Schizosaccharomyces pombe: one gene and its partner. The protein of the gene in region 2 purifies or fractionates together with the protein of the main gene of each other region. This does not show direct contact. Each region holds a gene or a part of one and is shown on either strand. Other genes may lie near its edges.

Region 1 (6,961 bases), 750 kb from region 2:
TAAAATAGAAAATGTATTTAATGGATGATAATCGATAAATTAAACGAAAATCAAAACTTACTTTAGAAAACTACCTTATAGTAAATTGATTACAGTAAAATGGATGCTACACACACACGAATATATGCTACAAGTTCATCGAGAGTAAAGTGAGACGGTTAAAAACAGTGAATAATTAAAGGGAGACAACTACCTTTCTACCTAATAAATGAAAGGGAGTATTTAGTAGCCGAATTGGGAAAGTTTTTGGTTAACAGGAGAAGCTTCTTTGGCGGAAGCAATCTTCTTCTGCTTGGCGAGCTTAGCTTGGTAGAAAGCGGCACTCTTAACCTTTCTACGCTCTTCTAATTTAGCGACAATATCATTATATTTCCAGCCAACCTCGGAAGAGAGACGACCAACAGTGCAGTACTTGCGACCAGGCTTCAAGCGCAAAACACGAAGGGCAGCGGGGACAACGACACGCTTTTGCTTGTCAAATGGAGGAGGGATACCCTCAACGGCTTGAAGGTGCTCCAAAGCAGCTTGGCCACGAGCGGTCTTGTGGGGAAGCATACCACGTACAGCCTTTTGGAAAATACGAGAGGGTGCGCGGAAATGGAAAGCACCACGACTAGGGTTGTAACGGCATGCCTTGCGCAAATAAGCAAGGTACTTAAGTTTGTTACGGAAAAAGTGACCAGAGATGTTCAATTCCTCGCAACGAACCACTACAACTTTTTGCCCACCCAAAAGCTGCTTAGCAACGACCGATGCCAAACGACCGAGAAGATGGCTATTCATGTTAGTATTACAGCTTTAAATTTATTCTGTTTACATACCCTTTGGCGTCAATAACAACAACTTTTTGAAATTCAGACATATTGGTGGTCTCTGATAATACACATTTAGAAAAGCAGCAAGTTCGGTGTATGTGTGACGGTTGTTCCAACATTAACCCTAACCTAAACAGAAAATGTTTTTTTTTCAAGTCAATAGCATGGTAGAATTAAGAGGTGTAGCTATTATCGTTAAACTGTTTAACAAACACGTTGAATAAGCTGCACAACAATGCGTTCCCACTCGCCCAATATCCTAAAAGGTAGTTTCGAGAAAATGGTAACACTCGCTAACATGAGAGTAAATAAATGAACTAAATAAAACGAAGGTAAATGTGACTCTCATCTACAATATTTACCATAGGCCTGATAGGAATTTTAGTTTAAGCATGAGACGCCAAGTGCCTTATTTCAGTGAACATTAAAAATATTATTTTCGATTAAAAGAGGGATCAATTTGAAAGGCAATCACGGAGGTAGAACTACCGGTACTACCTTGAAACTCAAATACAGGAACAGGAACTGTAGAGTGGACAATAAAACCATTCTTCGTAAACCGCTCCTCTAACTCTTGAATTGTCCAATTGCAACTGGTAATGAGAAAAATGCCATTGGGGGATAGCATACCGCGAACCCTATCAACATAAACACTGTTCAACGGACGACCATCCAAAAGCTCCCCACTTAAAGAGATGGCATCAAACGTACCTTTGTCAAGTATTAAATCCCAATCTTTTGAGCAAAATTTAGAATCTTTAATGATGTCGAGTTGCTGGAATTTGACTTTATCTGAAAACTGACGATGTCTAGCAATGTTTTTAGCCAAAACAATTGCAGCTTCGCTATAATCTACACCTACCAATTGGCAAGGGCTTGGAAGCAGTGTATCTTCTTCTTCAAGCAAACGAAATAATAAATGCCCATTACCAGTACCCAGGTCCAGGACACGAAAAGGCGCCGCTTCCGATACTTCTCTAAATGAGGTGGAAATGTGATCTTCTAACCATTGAACAATTCGTTCTTCAGCCTCTTCACCAAACCAAACTTCCCCTTCGTCATTAAATTCTGTAAAGTTGGATACTTCACGTTCATAGACATTATCCCAGCTAAAAACCTTTAGTAATATGCCCAATAAGAAAACAATAATGTTTAAAAACATACTATTGTTTTGTTCCCAGCTTTGATTCCGGTAATCCACTCATTGTCCTTTTTTTTTATTTTATCTTTCAAGACTTTCCCTACACAGTCTTTTCTATTTCTGTTCCCTATATTTACAAATTTTCAGAAAAGTCTTTGGAAAATGTTGTAATTTCTATTCGATAACAATCAATGTAAAGTTCTATCTTCCCTTCCTAGCTCGAGGTTAAGGGCCGGCACATAGGGTGGGAGAATAATATGTATTATTATTGTAAGGAAAAAATAATCCATTTGTAATCGTATTAAACAAAAATTTTTACCAAAAGTGATTAGTGAACAAATATTAAAAAAATACTCCAGAAATAATTTAATTGTTATATTTCTTGCATATCATAAACACCTATAAACCCATCAATAAATTCTTGTTGACAACAGATTTGTATATCCAGGCCACAATGTGTACTTATCCAACGTCAAAATCCTATTTTCAATAAAATAATGAGCAATGCCATTAAACTTAATCGATTTTAAAACACTCGGTCTAGTTTAACTTGGCTTGAGTTGCTACGCCGTTCGCTATAAAATCAAAAGTTTTGGTTGGAGATGTAGAAAACTTTTCAGTAAAGATGTTACTTTTTTTTTTAGTTTTTGCAAATGAAAGTTAGAATCTTCTTAACATTGTAGCAGGTTGCTTGAGCTTCTTGCATTACTCAAGAACGCCTGCCATCACTCATTCGAGTTTCTAAACATAGCGGCATTACTAGTTGTATAACGTTCAATTGTCAAAGAGAAACTGCTATACTTTAACTAAACAACACCTCGTCGCATTATATACCATACTTACTACACAACTTACAATCTAACATACACTCTAGAAAAATTATATTATCAATGTATTCAATACCCTGTATCACATGTATTAAAAATTAAAACCTAAACAATTATTTTTTCCGTAAGCAAACATTGCCTAAGCTTATTTCTTAGCACCAGCCTTAACAGCGGCCTTGGTAACCTTAGCGGCACCAGGAGCAACCTTCTCGACAGCTTTGATGACACCGACAGCGACGGTTTGACGCATGTCACGGACAGCGAAACGACCAAGAGGAGCGTAGTCAGTGAAAGCTTCAACACACATAGGCTTGGAAGGAACCATCTTAGCAATGCAAGCATCACCAGACTTGACGAACTTGGGGGACTCCTCAATCTTCTTACCGGAACGACGGTCAATCTTCTCAATGAGCTCAGCGAACTTGCAAGCAATGTGAGCAGTGTGGCAATCCAAAACAGGAGAGTAACCAGCAGAGATTTGACCGGGGTGGTTAAGAATGATGACTTGAGCGGTGAAGCTAGCACAACCCATGGGAGGATCATTCTTGGAGTCACCACAGACATTACCACGGCGAATATCCTTGACGGAAACGTTCTTAACGTTGAAACCAACGTTGTCACCGGGAAGACCAGCGTCGAGAGACTCGTGGTGCATCTCAACAGACTTGACTTCGGTAGTGACACCAGCGGGAGCGAAGGTGACAATCATACCGGGCTTGATAACACCAGTCTCGACACGACCGACGGGAACTGTACCAATACCACCGATCTTGTAAACATCTTGAAGGGGAAGACGAAGAGGCTTGTCAGTGGGACGTGCAGGGGGCTCAATGGAGTCAATAGCCTCCAAAAGAGTCTTACCCTTGACGACACCAGCCTTGGTCTCCTTTTGCCAGCCTTGGTACCAGGGCATGTTGGTGGTGGGCTCAATCATGTTATCACCTTGGAAACCGGAGACAGGGACGAAAGGAACGGTCTTGGGGTTGAAACCGACCTTCTTGATGAAGTTAGAGGTCTCCTTAACGATTTCCTCGAAACGAGCTTGGGACCAGCCAGTGGTGTCCATCTTGTTGACGGCAACAATAAGTTGCTTGACACCCAAGGTGTAAGCAAGCAAAGCGTGCTCACGGGTTTGACCATCCTTGGAGATACCAGCCTCGAACTCACCAGTACCACCACCAATAATAAGGATAGCACAGTCAGCTTGAGAAGTACCGGTAATCATGTTCTTGATGAAATCACGGTGACCGGGGGCATCAATGACAGTAACATTGTACTTGGGAGTCTCGAACTTCCAAAGGGCAATGTCGATGGTGATACCACGTTCACGCTCGGCCTTGAGCTTGTCCAAAACCCAGGCGTACTTGAAGGAACCCTTACCCAACTCGGTGGCTTCCTTCTCGAATTTTTCAATGGTACGCTTGTCAATACCACCGCACTTGTAAATCAAGTGACCAGTGGTGGTAGACTTACCAGAATCGACGTGACCGATAACAACGACGTTAATATGTCCCTTTTCCTTTCCCATTTTTGTTTAATGTGAGTTCGATGAAACAGACTCTAGGTAGAAGCGAAGGGCGCCAGCGCCTACATATATACTTGCGCAAAAAAAGCAGTCACATAACGTTCGTTACGTCTCGAAAGTTTTTTTCTTTTTTTCCGGCTTAAAATATTGTCGTGAGCCTATCAGCGAACGAATTTTGTTTGCGCAGGAAAGTCATGATGTCATTTAAAATTTTTCTTTGCTTCTTAACCTTTTGTCTTTAGAGTACACTTAGCCGAATTTGCCACCGCAATAAACATTAGCTTAGCGAACGTCGTTCTTGGCGATTTTGATTTATTGGGCGGAAACGATCAACGCTGTATATATGAAATGGATCGTTTTTCGTTAATTTAAAAATATATATCTGGTTTATTAAATGATGAAAAATATTTAGTTGTATCATTGAACCATTTTTGATGGCCGTTATCAGATCGGATTGAGATTGTGGACTGAGATTTTCGCTGATATACCCACCTTAGCTGCTTTTGTTTGTTCTTTGTCCGTCACCACAACGGTAATAGTTTTGATGGCTTTGCTTTTGGAGGGTACTTCTTTGGCCCGGTATGTCTTTTTTATCGTGTATATATAGTTTTGTCTAACAGTTGAATTAGCAAAGTTCGAGAAGAACTTCGGGAGCAGATCTCCTCGATTAAATCTGTTGACCCTTATTTCAACGTTTCTTTAAAAATCATTCAAGTCGGAGGTAGAGAGGACTCAAATGTATATGTGCGCATGAAAACTCGTGCAGCTAATGAGGTATGAGTGAAGGCGGAGAAGGGTCTCCTAAAATGATTGAAATGCGTAGGGACGAGTTATTAAAAGCGCACTGGTTTTAAAAGTTCACCCTAACACTCATGTACAATCTGGCGTTAGTTGGCGCGATGGATGATTTTTTGGTTTTTCGATAATGTTAGAAGGTAGATGATGCTTGGGTGGACTATTTAAATATTTGCAATTCTCTTATTCATTAAATTCATTTTCTTTCTTTTACATCTCCTTCAATTAAATCCATGCATTATTTTCTAACTGTTTAGGCTGGAATCTCCTGTGAGCATGTGAATTTTCCTGAAGATATTACAGAATACGACTTGCTGCTTGCCATCAAAGGCTTCAACGAGGACCCTACTGTCCACGGTATTATTGTACAGTTACCTCTGCCTGCTCACATCAATGAGCAGATTATTACAGAAGCCGTCGCTCCCGAGAAAGACGTTGATGGTTTTTGTGAAACTAATTTGGGAAAATTGACCAAGCGCGAAGGTCAACCCTTGTTTACCGCATGCACCCCAAAAGGTATTATGTGCATTTTAAAACATTACGGGATTAATGTCCAAGGAAAGCATGCTGTTGTCATAGGCCGTAGCAACATTGTTGGTCGTCCAATGTCCATACTTTTGGAAAAGGCAAATGCCACAGTTACTTTATGTCATTCAAAGACGGAATCTATTGCTGATATTGTTAGGACAGCTGATATTGTCGTTGCTGCCATTGGTATTCCTCATTTCGTCAAGGCTGACTGGTTGAAAAAGGGCGTTGTCGCTATTGATGTTGGTATCAACTCTATTCCAGATGCCACCAAGAAGTCTGGTTACCGTCTTACCGGCGATATTGACTTTGAAAATGCCAAGGAGGTCGCCAGCGCAATCACACCTGTCCCTGGTTCTGTTGGTCCTATGACCGTAGCCATGTTGCTGCAAAACGTGGTTGAATCAGCTGTTCGCTTTCGCAAAATGTCTCGCAAGCGTAAACCAACTCTTCTTCCTTTAAAGCTTCAGACCCCTGTTCCTAGTGATATTGAGATTGCGCGTTCACAAACCCCTAAAAATATTGGTGACTTGGCTTCCGAAATTGGTATCGCAAAATCTGAATTAGAATTTTATGGATCCCATAAAGCCAAGGTCAACCTTGAAATTCTTCAACGTCTGGCTCATCGTCGCGACGGCCACTACGTTGTAGTTACTGGTATCACTCCTACTCCATTCGGCGAGGGTAAAAGTACACTTACTGCAGGACTCGTTCAAGCGCTTTCAAACTTGGACAAGCTTGCTATTGCATGTGTTCGTCAACCCTCTCAAGGCCCCACATTTGGAATTAAAGGTGGTGCTGCCGGAGGTGGTTATTCTCAATTCATCCCTATGGAGGAGTTCAATCTTCATTTAACTGGTGACATTCATGCAATTACAGCAGCTACCAACTTGCTTGCTGCTGCCATCGATACCCGTATGTTCCATGAAAACACACAATCCGATGCCGCTTTGTATAAACGTTTGACTTTGGTTAAGGGAAACAAACGAGAGTTTGCACCCGTCATGTTCCGTCGCTTGAAAAAGCTTGGCATTGATAAAACTAATCCTGAAGAATTAACCGAAGAAGAGCAAAGAAAATTTGCTAGGCTGGATATTGAACCTTCAACTATTTCATGGAATCGTACTTTGGATGTTAACGATCGCTTTCTTCGTAAAATTACTATTGGAGAGAATCCTACGGAAAAGGGTTTCACTCGCCAAACCGGTTTTGATCTTTCTGTCGCTAGCGAATGTATGTCTGTCTTGGCCTTGGCTACTGACTTGAAAGATATGCGTGAGCGATTAGGCCGCATGGTTGTTGCCAGCAACAAATCTGGTGAACCTGTTAC
Region 2 (8,032 bases):
CTACACATAGGTTATTAAGTGAAGAAGTAATCATGTGTGAAAAAACGGATTTTGAAAAAAGAGATGGAATGAAATTAAAATAACTTCGTTCAGCTGCTGTTACAACGTAAGTAAATGAGGCCGGGTACGATATACTAAAGTGGAGAGCAGCAGAGGATAAGTAAGGAGAAGGGCAAAAGCCATGGATTTTAAGGGTCTTTATTGAATCATCTGAAACAGAGCCATAATTTTGCAAGTGATTGTTCAAAAATTTTTCAAGCACATGTCTCTCTGGTGAGTCCAACATCGATATTGAATTATCCAACAAGGAAAAAGTCTCTAAAGTTCCAGAATGTGTCAAGATGTAAACATATATGGTATCAATGTCGTTATGACCAAACAACACTCCAGAAGGAGAGCAAAGGGACAAAAGATTATGGTTCAAAAAAGAGCAAAACTTCCCTAATGACTTGTCATACCGAAATGCAAATAAATGGCCAGGATAAACTAACGCAAGGTATTCAACATTGGCTAATGGAGATGACCAGGCTAGCAGAGGAGAAAACGGTCTATAGTCCAACGAGAAAGGTAGCTCTTGCATAGCGGTATCAAAAGTGTCAGAATGAGAGCTAATAGCTATTTTTAAAATTCGGATTTCTCCATTCCGAGAAGAACACGATAGCAAACAGGTAGCTGAATCCCCAACCACATTCCAGCTGGAGAATGATAACTGAACTACCCATGAGCAATTCAAATCAAAAGACTTGAAAAATGGGGTAGATGAATGTGACATAATAGAGAGATGGACATGACCCGACTCTGCACCAAGTGCAAACAAACACACGCCCCAAGGTGAAGATGAAGGAAGACTTACCAAAGGCGACCATGCAACGCTATGAATTCGGCAAAGTTCCAAAGGATCGGAAGGTAAGTGAGTACTCATTTGTGCCACGCAAGTCCATTTTTGATGGAGAACGCGACTAGATGAAGAAAAGAAATACACACGATGACGATTAGTTAAAACAGTTAACAATGGACTAGCTGATTAGCGTTCAAATAAAAAGTAGAATAGAGAAACAAAACCGAATAAGACTTTATTTTAGGCATTGAAACGATAAACAAACTTTAAAAAATGAAACAAATTTCATAAAAATAGAAATATTTACGCACAAAAACACAAACCGAGTGGAATGTTAAGTAAAGTCAAACTCAAGTCTTCTCTTTTTAAGAACATACTCGTAATTGTCTGCGAGACCTGTTGGCGACCAGACCACATAGCGGCTTATGACACTTGGAGTTAGATCTCCTAAACGAAGCTCATTAGCTGTAAAACACGTTAGCTTTTATACTCTCATAAGCATCAAAGGGCATTGGGAACATACGAGCAAGCATTTGGCAATTTGGTAGTTCATCTTCCACATCATCTAAATAGGCTAGCGCCTTCATAAACTTAGGCGTATTGGCTTCAGTTGAAGGTACCTGAAGGGAATTAGCTAGTCTCGAACACGTCAATTTGAGATATGTACCAAGATTTGGACTTTTTCTGAATCGCAAAAAGCCAATTTTCCATCGCAAGAACAAGTACAGCTATACAAGCTTGATGGAAGAAAATCCAATGCTACATCCTTTCCCATTGTAAGAAAGACGACGAGCGATGTTGAAGCCAGGTGAACAATTCCATCAAATGCGTTAAAGTTCAGTGCCTTGCGCAATGCTAGTTGAGAAAGACTTGCATGAAAAATCCACTAAAATAGCTGTAAACAAGATGATATTGGACTAGAATTTTGCTTCATCTTATAAAACTTAGCAACAATGCGATGGTGTTATCGGTCCGCTTTACTGTCTGCAAACACTGACACCTGAAACAACTAAAACCAACAGGTATATACAGTGAAGAACAAAAAGAGAGAAAAAGGAAAACCACTCTTTATAACTCTCTTGACTCCAACAGGATCCCGAAAAAAGTTACCCTATATAAAACGATAATTGTGAATTTTAGAAAATGTACAGTTTACTCAAGGTCAGCTTCATCACGTAGCCGTTTTAAAGGACCTCTGCTGTCATTTTCGGCGACGATTCTTTCAATAATCTTACTTTTCGAATGAGCGTATTGAATTTTCTTATTAAAGATGTTAGTCAATCGTTTTTGTTTTTTTATGGGGATTAATGAGAAAGCTCATTTCACAGCATACCATTTCCTTTCCGAAGAATATGAAATTTTTTAAGGCCTTCATCGCAATTGCAGCGGCAGAGGGATCAAAGAATACAACATGAGCTTGACCTCTCATCTTGGGAGTTTTCAACGCGACAATATCAACCACGGTCCCATAAGTGGAGAATAGCATATATAGTGCTGTTCTTAAATCATTTTTATTAATTTTATCATTCAAATTATTCACATAAAGTGTATTTTGATTCATTTTCGCCCTAGTTTGGTGTTTTGCAAATGCTGAACTCTTTACCTTATATTTTTACCTGCAAACACTGCGCGCTAACAATCGCTATGAGTTAACTTATTGAATGGATTGTTGAAAAGGCTCGTCTTAATTACATTAAAATGCTAAAGCTTTTACATTTTTAATTTATCTTTTAAGGCTATAAATATCCATATTTAATTTTCCGGAACGAAATATGTTTATTTGCAATTCTACGACCATTGAACGCTAGTCATCTGAATTATGATTCAAGTCACAATTATTTTTAGAGATCCCTTAAATATAATCAAATCGTAACAAAAAATCAACGATAATAATAGTTCACGTTAAAAATCTTTCCCAAGCATTGTGCAGTTGTTGATAGTTTAATCCTTATGTACTCAAATTTCCATATTTAAAAGATTGAAAAAATGTTATTTTTTAGTAGTATAGAAAATAGAGAATATTTTAAGACTAGATGATTTTTTCGATCCACCGTATTCCCACTCTGGGGAAATAATTTTACAGGAAATGCCTTAAAACCCCAGCAAGATTCCTAATCCAAAAACCTACAGCATAGTAACATTAATCAGTAATTCTATATTTTTAAGTAAAGACTTTGATCCTAATTCAACACGTAGCTTTGAGAGTCAGCTTTCCCATTTACATTCCAGTGAACCGAAATGTCCAAATCACGATTGTTTTTTTTATTTTTTGAAAAGGAAATAGTTCCTTCAACACGAGTGCCTTTTTGAAGGAAAGGACGATTACGTAGTAACAAAACGCATTGTTTCCAATGAGTAGGAGTGCCTTGAGGGCCTGTTGTAAATCCACAAGCTTCATCAATAGCTTCTGGAATAGGCTGTGTTCTCTTAGTCGTAAAATACGTATCAAACCATAAAGTGAAAGCACAAAGCGGTCCTTCGTTGTCTATAATTAGAGAGAAGGGGGAAGTAAAACTGACATCTTGAACTTTGCACGTATGCATATTAAACCTTGCAAAAACAACAGGCTTGGCGTTAACATAAGTTTGAGGAACGACTTGTACACTAACACCTTTATAAGAAGCATCCTTCATGCCATTCATTTTGAAACCATACACATCGCTCCAGAAATCAATAGGTTCTTCTAACAATTCAGTGTTTGTGGTAGCTGTAAGTACCAATCGTGTCTCGGACGGTGCCATAATTCCAGAAGGTGCAAGGAAGCGATCTCTGGCAACAAGGACGGAATCAATCATACTCTCAAACGTTAGAGCATAGCCCATCCATTCCGAAATAATGATATCTACCTTGCCAACCGGTAAACTGATATCTTCGATTTTTCCACGAATAAAAGTAATTTGATCAGCAAGACCATTTTCAAAAGCATTTGAGATAGCCATTTGAATGATATCGGAGTTGTCCACAGCATAAACCTTCTTGGCGCCAGCCTTTGCGCAAAACATGGATAAAATGCCAGTACCGCATCCTACATCCAAAACCGTTTTTCCAGCAAAAATATGCTTATTATGATAAACGAAGTCACGGTATCCCTCGGTCCGGACAGAATCGTTTAGCATAAGGAAATGAATATCATTTCCAGCGTAAGACTCGAAATAATAAGAATCGTTATCTGCTTTCTTTGGGGTAACTGATAGCTGATCTGTAGTCTGACTAGTCAATTCATTCATTTTATCTTTTCGAATTTCTTCAAGCTGAGAGATAAGAAGTTGATTTTGTAACTTTAATTTCTTTATTTCTGCATCTTTAGAAACATCTGCTGGATTCTCTACTTCAATTTCGAGAGTATTGTCGTCCTCAAAATCTGAATCGAGTTCATCGCCAAGCGAGAAGAGTACACTGTCGTCAGGGAGTACAGAAATCATGTATTCGTCGGACCGTAAAATGTCGGAAAGTTTGTCCAAATCTGGTGTTTTTCCTTCCTTGACTTGAGACCGAATGTAATTTACCAATTTAATGCAAGCATAGAAATCCAAATTATTCTGCTGCTTAACTTGATAAAAGTCAAAGTTGTGTGCTACAATAGAACCAAAGTTAGCCATGTATGAATATTAATAGATATACAAAATTTTTAAATTAAATAGAAAAACTCATACCTTCTTTACAATGACTCCATAAGTCTTTTAAACAGGTAAAGGTAGAATCGCAAAACAAGCAACAAAATTCATGTACCTCATCCTCCCAAACTTCCTCTATTAAGAGTTAGTATTAACTTTATTGTTTCCATTTGAAAGCTGGGATGCATCGTCTTTCAAAGAAAGGGTAGCAGCAGAAAAAACGAAAACCGTGTCCCAGGGGAATTGAGCAAATCCTGAATAATAATGTTCAATCCAGGAAATCGGATCATTCATCATTGACTGATAGAGATGAATATCCATTCATGTCAAGCAATAATCGCAAAAAGATAGCATGGAATTCCAGTATTAACTAAACAAGCAACAAATTCCCCCAGAAGTAAAAAACATTGATTTCAGACCAGTACAACAGCCAAGCATATTATTCATACCTTCATTATCCCAGTCAACCTCTGAATCACTATGAGAGCCCATTTGTTTAAAACGGTTGGCAATTGCTAAAGAAAAATCCTCTATTGTTGTTACTTTTCTCGTCCAAATTTCAAAGTAACATGCCATAGGTTTCACTAACATTGGAACAAAGGTTCTTAAGATTGCACTACCAGCGCTTTCATTGAGATCAAGTGTGTTTTTTTTTTAAGAACTTGATCAACTTAAGCATAGGTTTTGACTCCTTGAGAGAATTTTGTTGCTTCAGATTTTTGGGCCTTTGGAGTGATGTTAGTGGTATTTCAGCGCGTTGTGCGTGCAACAGTCTTGGTTGGCAGAAAGGATACCATTCGAACAGTGAAAACCCATTCCGGCGCTAAAAAGAGATGGATTCTTACAGAAGATGGTAAAAGCTTTAAGCGAAAGCACGCAGGTGCTCAACATTTGAACCGTGACACGTCTAGTTCAACGAGAGCTAGACAACGTCAATGGGAAGAAGCAAATACAATACAAAAACGAGTGTTAAAGAGGCTTCTTCCTTTTAAATGAGAGAATGATAAGGATCTCTTTATTAACCCTAATTTCATGTACATGACATGGCAAAATTTACTTTCCTGCTTTATGATTATTGAAATTTTTCAAAGCATACTTTTTATGGTCTTAAATTTTCAGTTTATCCTTGGTGGGTTCGTTTGTGGTAGGACAAAATTGTCTATCCTTAAGGATTCTTTCCTACCTTATATAAATATCCATGCTAAGATCTAACTATGTTGTCTTCTAATGACTCGTTATACTAAACATTTCATTTTTATGAATCAGCCTTTTTCCATCACATGAATTTGATTAAATTTAAGTTGGTTTTATCGTTGAGTTATTGACTCCTGTCCACTTTCTCTTAAATACACATAGTGGTGAAGAGAAATTCAAAGCTTATATCTTTCTCCCCTTTTTACGTTTTGACTTTTATCTTGCTTACCGTTCCTTTTGAATTCCATAAATTGATTTTCAAATTCATTGAAAGTATGTCAAAGTCGCAGTTCCGTCGGATTTTTAACTACAGATCATCAAAAAACTGTTCCTAAATTAAAAGGAACTATACGGAAATTCCTACAAATAGAAATCACAATTTCATGGATCCTCTTTTTATCCTTCAGCGTAAGCATCAATCCCTTTCTTCAAGTGTGGGTAACATGTTACCTGTTAGTAACGAATTGCAAATTTGTGCACTGAAATTTATCATTGCTTAGCCTGGAGGCAAGGTGGTGGGACCTGCCTGATTCTCCCTTAGAAACAGCGTATATCACATATTCAATTAGTATTGAAATTTTCAGAGGGTCTTGAATAAATTGTCGGCGTAGCATCTTGGTGTTATGGGACGCCCTTTAATAGAGTCCAGTTCAAACGACCATGTTGCAAATTTCAATAGAAAAACAAAGAAGCTGATTGATCAAGCGCTTGAACATTATAATGGAAGATTACCTGAGCAGCTTGAAAATTTCAGCTTTGAGAACTTTGTCGAAGTTTTGGATACTGAGTCCTCAGTGGTAAATCGAGTCTTCGAAGTACTGGTGCGCGAGGTTGCTGGTTCTTTTCGGCAAAGGAAGCGTGCTCACATGCCTAGGACTAATACCACTGCTCAAGTTGTTCAAAGGCAATTAGCGCCCAGTATATCAACCGTTTTTTCGCGTGATTCCAACGATCCTCTTGTTGACGATATGGATCAAGAGTACATCTTATAAAACATGAGACTGGAATCTTTATGGAGGCCGGAAAAGATGGATTTTGAAGATTTGACTTTTACTTGTCTTTTGTACTTTTCTATCACAAGGTTTAATTATTACATGCTTTCCAGTCTATGAAATAGGTGATAATGAACTATTTATTTATGAGCATATTTTTTAAGTCGATCAGCAAAAACCACATAGATTTATTTAAAAATTTAATTGCATCGCAACATTGTTTTTGTAGACGTTAGAGCAACTAGCTCATAGTTTGTAAGTAATCAAATCTCATAGTATTATATGATTCATCAAGGAGAAAAAAGTTTCATATTTTTTAATTTTCTTTTTTTTAACCTTATTCATCAAGAATAGGCAAAAAGTGGGAATTCAGTATACTCAAATGAATGAACATTACATCCTCGTTTTCATACAAGTCGTCGATTAATTTTTGAATATCTTCTCTGACAGAATCTTTTGCAGGTACATCGATAGCCGTTTCTTCCAGAGGAATATGGATTAAACGAGAATCTTTGATTTCATAGTTTTTAGATCGAAAATGATGAGCCACCTGGTTTAAACTAGAGGGCTCGGTTAAAATCAAAAATTCACCTTCATCTTCTTCGTCTATGTACTCTTTGGGCCTATTGACTATGTCCTCTGCGCCAGCTTCAATAGCATCGTCGAGAACATCTTCAAATTTCATAGAATCTCGTTTTTCTGGAGGAAGATTTACTTCCACCTTACCCTTTTTGCTAAACAAAAATTTGACAGTCGATAAAGAAGCCCCATGATTTCGTAAAATATGTTTGATTGAAGAAGCAGCTCGAGCTCGATTGTCTGTAACCGCTTCAACTATAAGACCGACTCCTGATGGATGCATTGCTTCATACTCAATAAAATGAACTTGCGAACCTTCACTTCCAGCCGTACCCAATCCTCGATTAATTGCATTTTCAATACCAGATTTCGGCATGGATATTTTCTTGGCACTCTCTAGTAGTGTCGCCAGCCGCATATTCAATTCAGGATTGGCACCTTCTTGTCGAACTGCTAGAATGATTCCCTGTGAAAGTCTGGATACACAGTAATATTAGTAACTGTTATTAGATAGTAGTGTGAAACAAGACGAGCCCTTACTTTCCAATTTGTAAACTTCTTGCCTGGTCATTCGCCGATTTTTTGTGCTTAATTTTTGACCACTCTATAAAGGTTAATATGCGTATATAAAACTGGTAACATTATAGTGTCTATGGATCTTATAAATTCACTGTTGTTGACAGTAACCCAGTTTGCAAGAAAACCTGAACATTCACTTAATTGTATGTTCGAGCAATTAACTGAACACTTTATAAAAGTGGATATGAATACAGTTCAAATTTTATCACTTTCAATTCTTCTGTCTTATGTGAAAG

What was found. The genes of interacting proteins can lie anywhere in the genome.
Region 1: the proteins of rmt3 (region 2) and tef103 purify together in Schizosaccharomyces pombe (affinity purification with mass spectrometry, with the first as the bait; one study listed by BioGRID). This does not show direct contact.

The regions. Positions count from the first base shown.
Region 1 is NC_003423.3:623,178-630,138, forward strand, and holds tef103 (translation elongation factor EF-1 alpha Ef1a-c), read right to left. Parts: upstream 4,346-6,961; 5' UTR 4,312-4,345; coding exon 2,929-4,311; 3' UTR 2,827-2,928; downstream 1-2,826. Other genes in the region: rpl1601 (60S ribosomal protein uL13), read right to left, coding at 223-775, 822-862; methyltransferase Efm4, read right to left, coding at 1,249-1,924, 1,980-2,020; C1-5,6,7,8-tetrahydrofolate (THF) synthase, trifunctional enzyme Thf1, read left to right, coding at 4,853-4,887, 4,938-5,082, 5,361-6,961. UniProt on the Schizosaccharomyces pombe protein: This protein promotes the GTP-dependent binding of aminoacyl-tRNA to the A-site of ribosomes during protein biosynthesis.
Region 2 is NC_003423.3:1,373,323-1,381,354, forward strand, and holds rmt3 (ribosomal protein arginine N-methyltransferase Rmt3), read right to left. Parts: upstream 4,970-8,032; 5' UTR 4,945-4,969; coding exon 4,902-4,944; intron 4,588-4,901; coding exon 4,492-4,587; intron 4,413-4,491; coding exon 3,019-4,412; 3' UTR 2,567-3,018; downstream 1-2,566. Other genes in the region: transcription factor TFIIIC complex subunit Sfc9, read right to left, coding at 1-1,016, 1,216-1,303, 1,362-1,458, 1,506-1,613; U2 snRNP-associated protein Msl1, read right to left, coding at 1,991-2,098, 2,172-2,399; new15 (mitochondrial 54S ribosomal protein bL35m ), read left to right, coding at 5,188-5,448; SPOM_SPBC8D2.11 (uncharacterized protein), read left to right, coding at 6,270-6,638; tac1 (cytochrome C oxidase subunit I translational activator), read right to left, coding at 6,976-7,693, 7,758-7,821. UniProt on the Schizosaccharomyces pombe protein: Methylates (mono and asymmetric dimethylation) the guanidino nitrogens of arginyl residues in ribosomal protein rps2.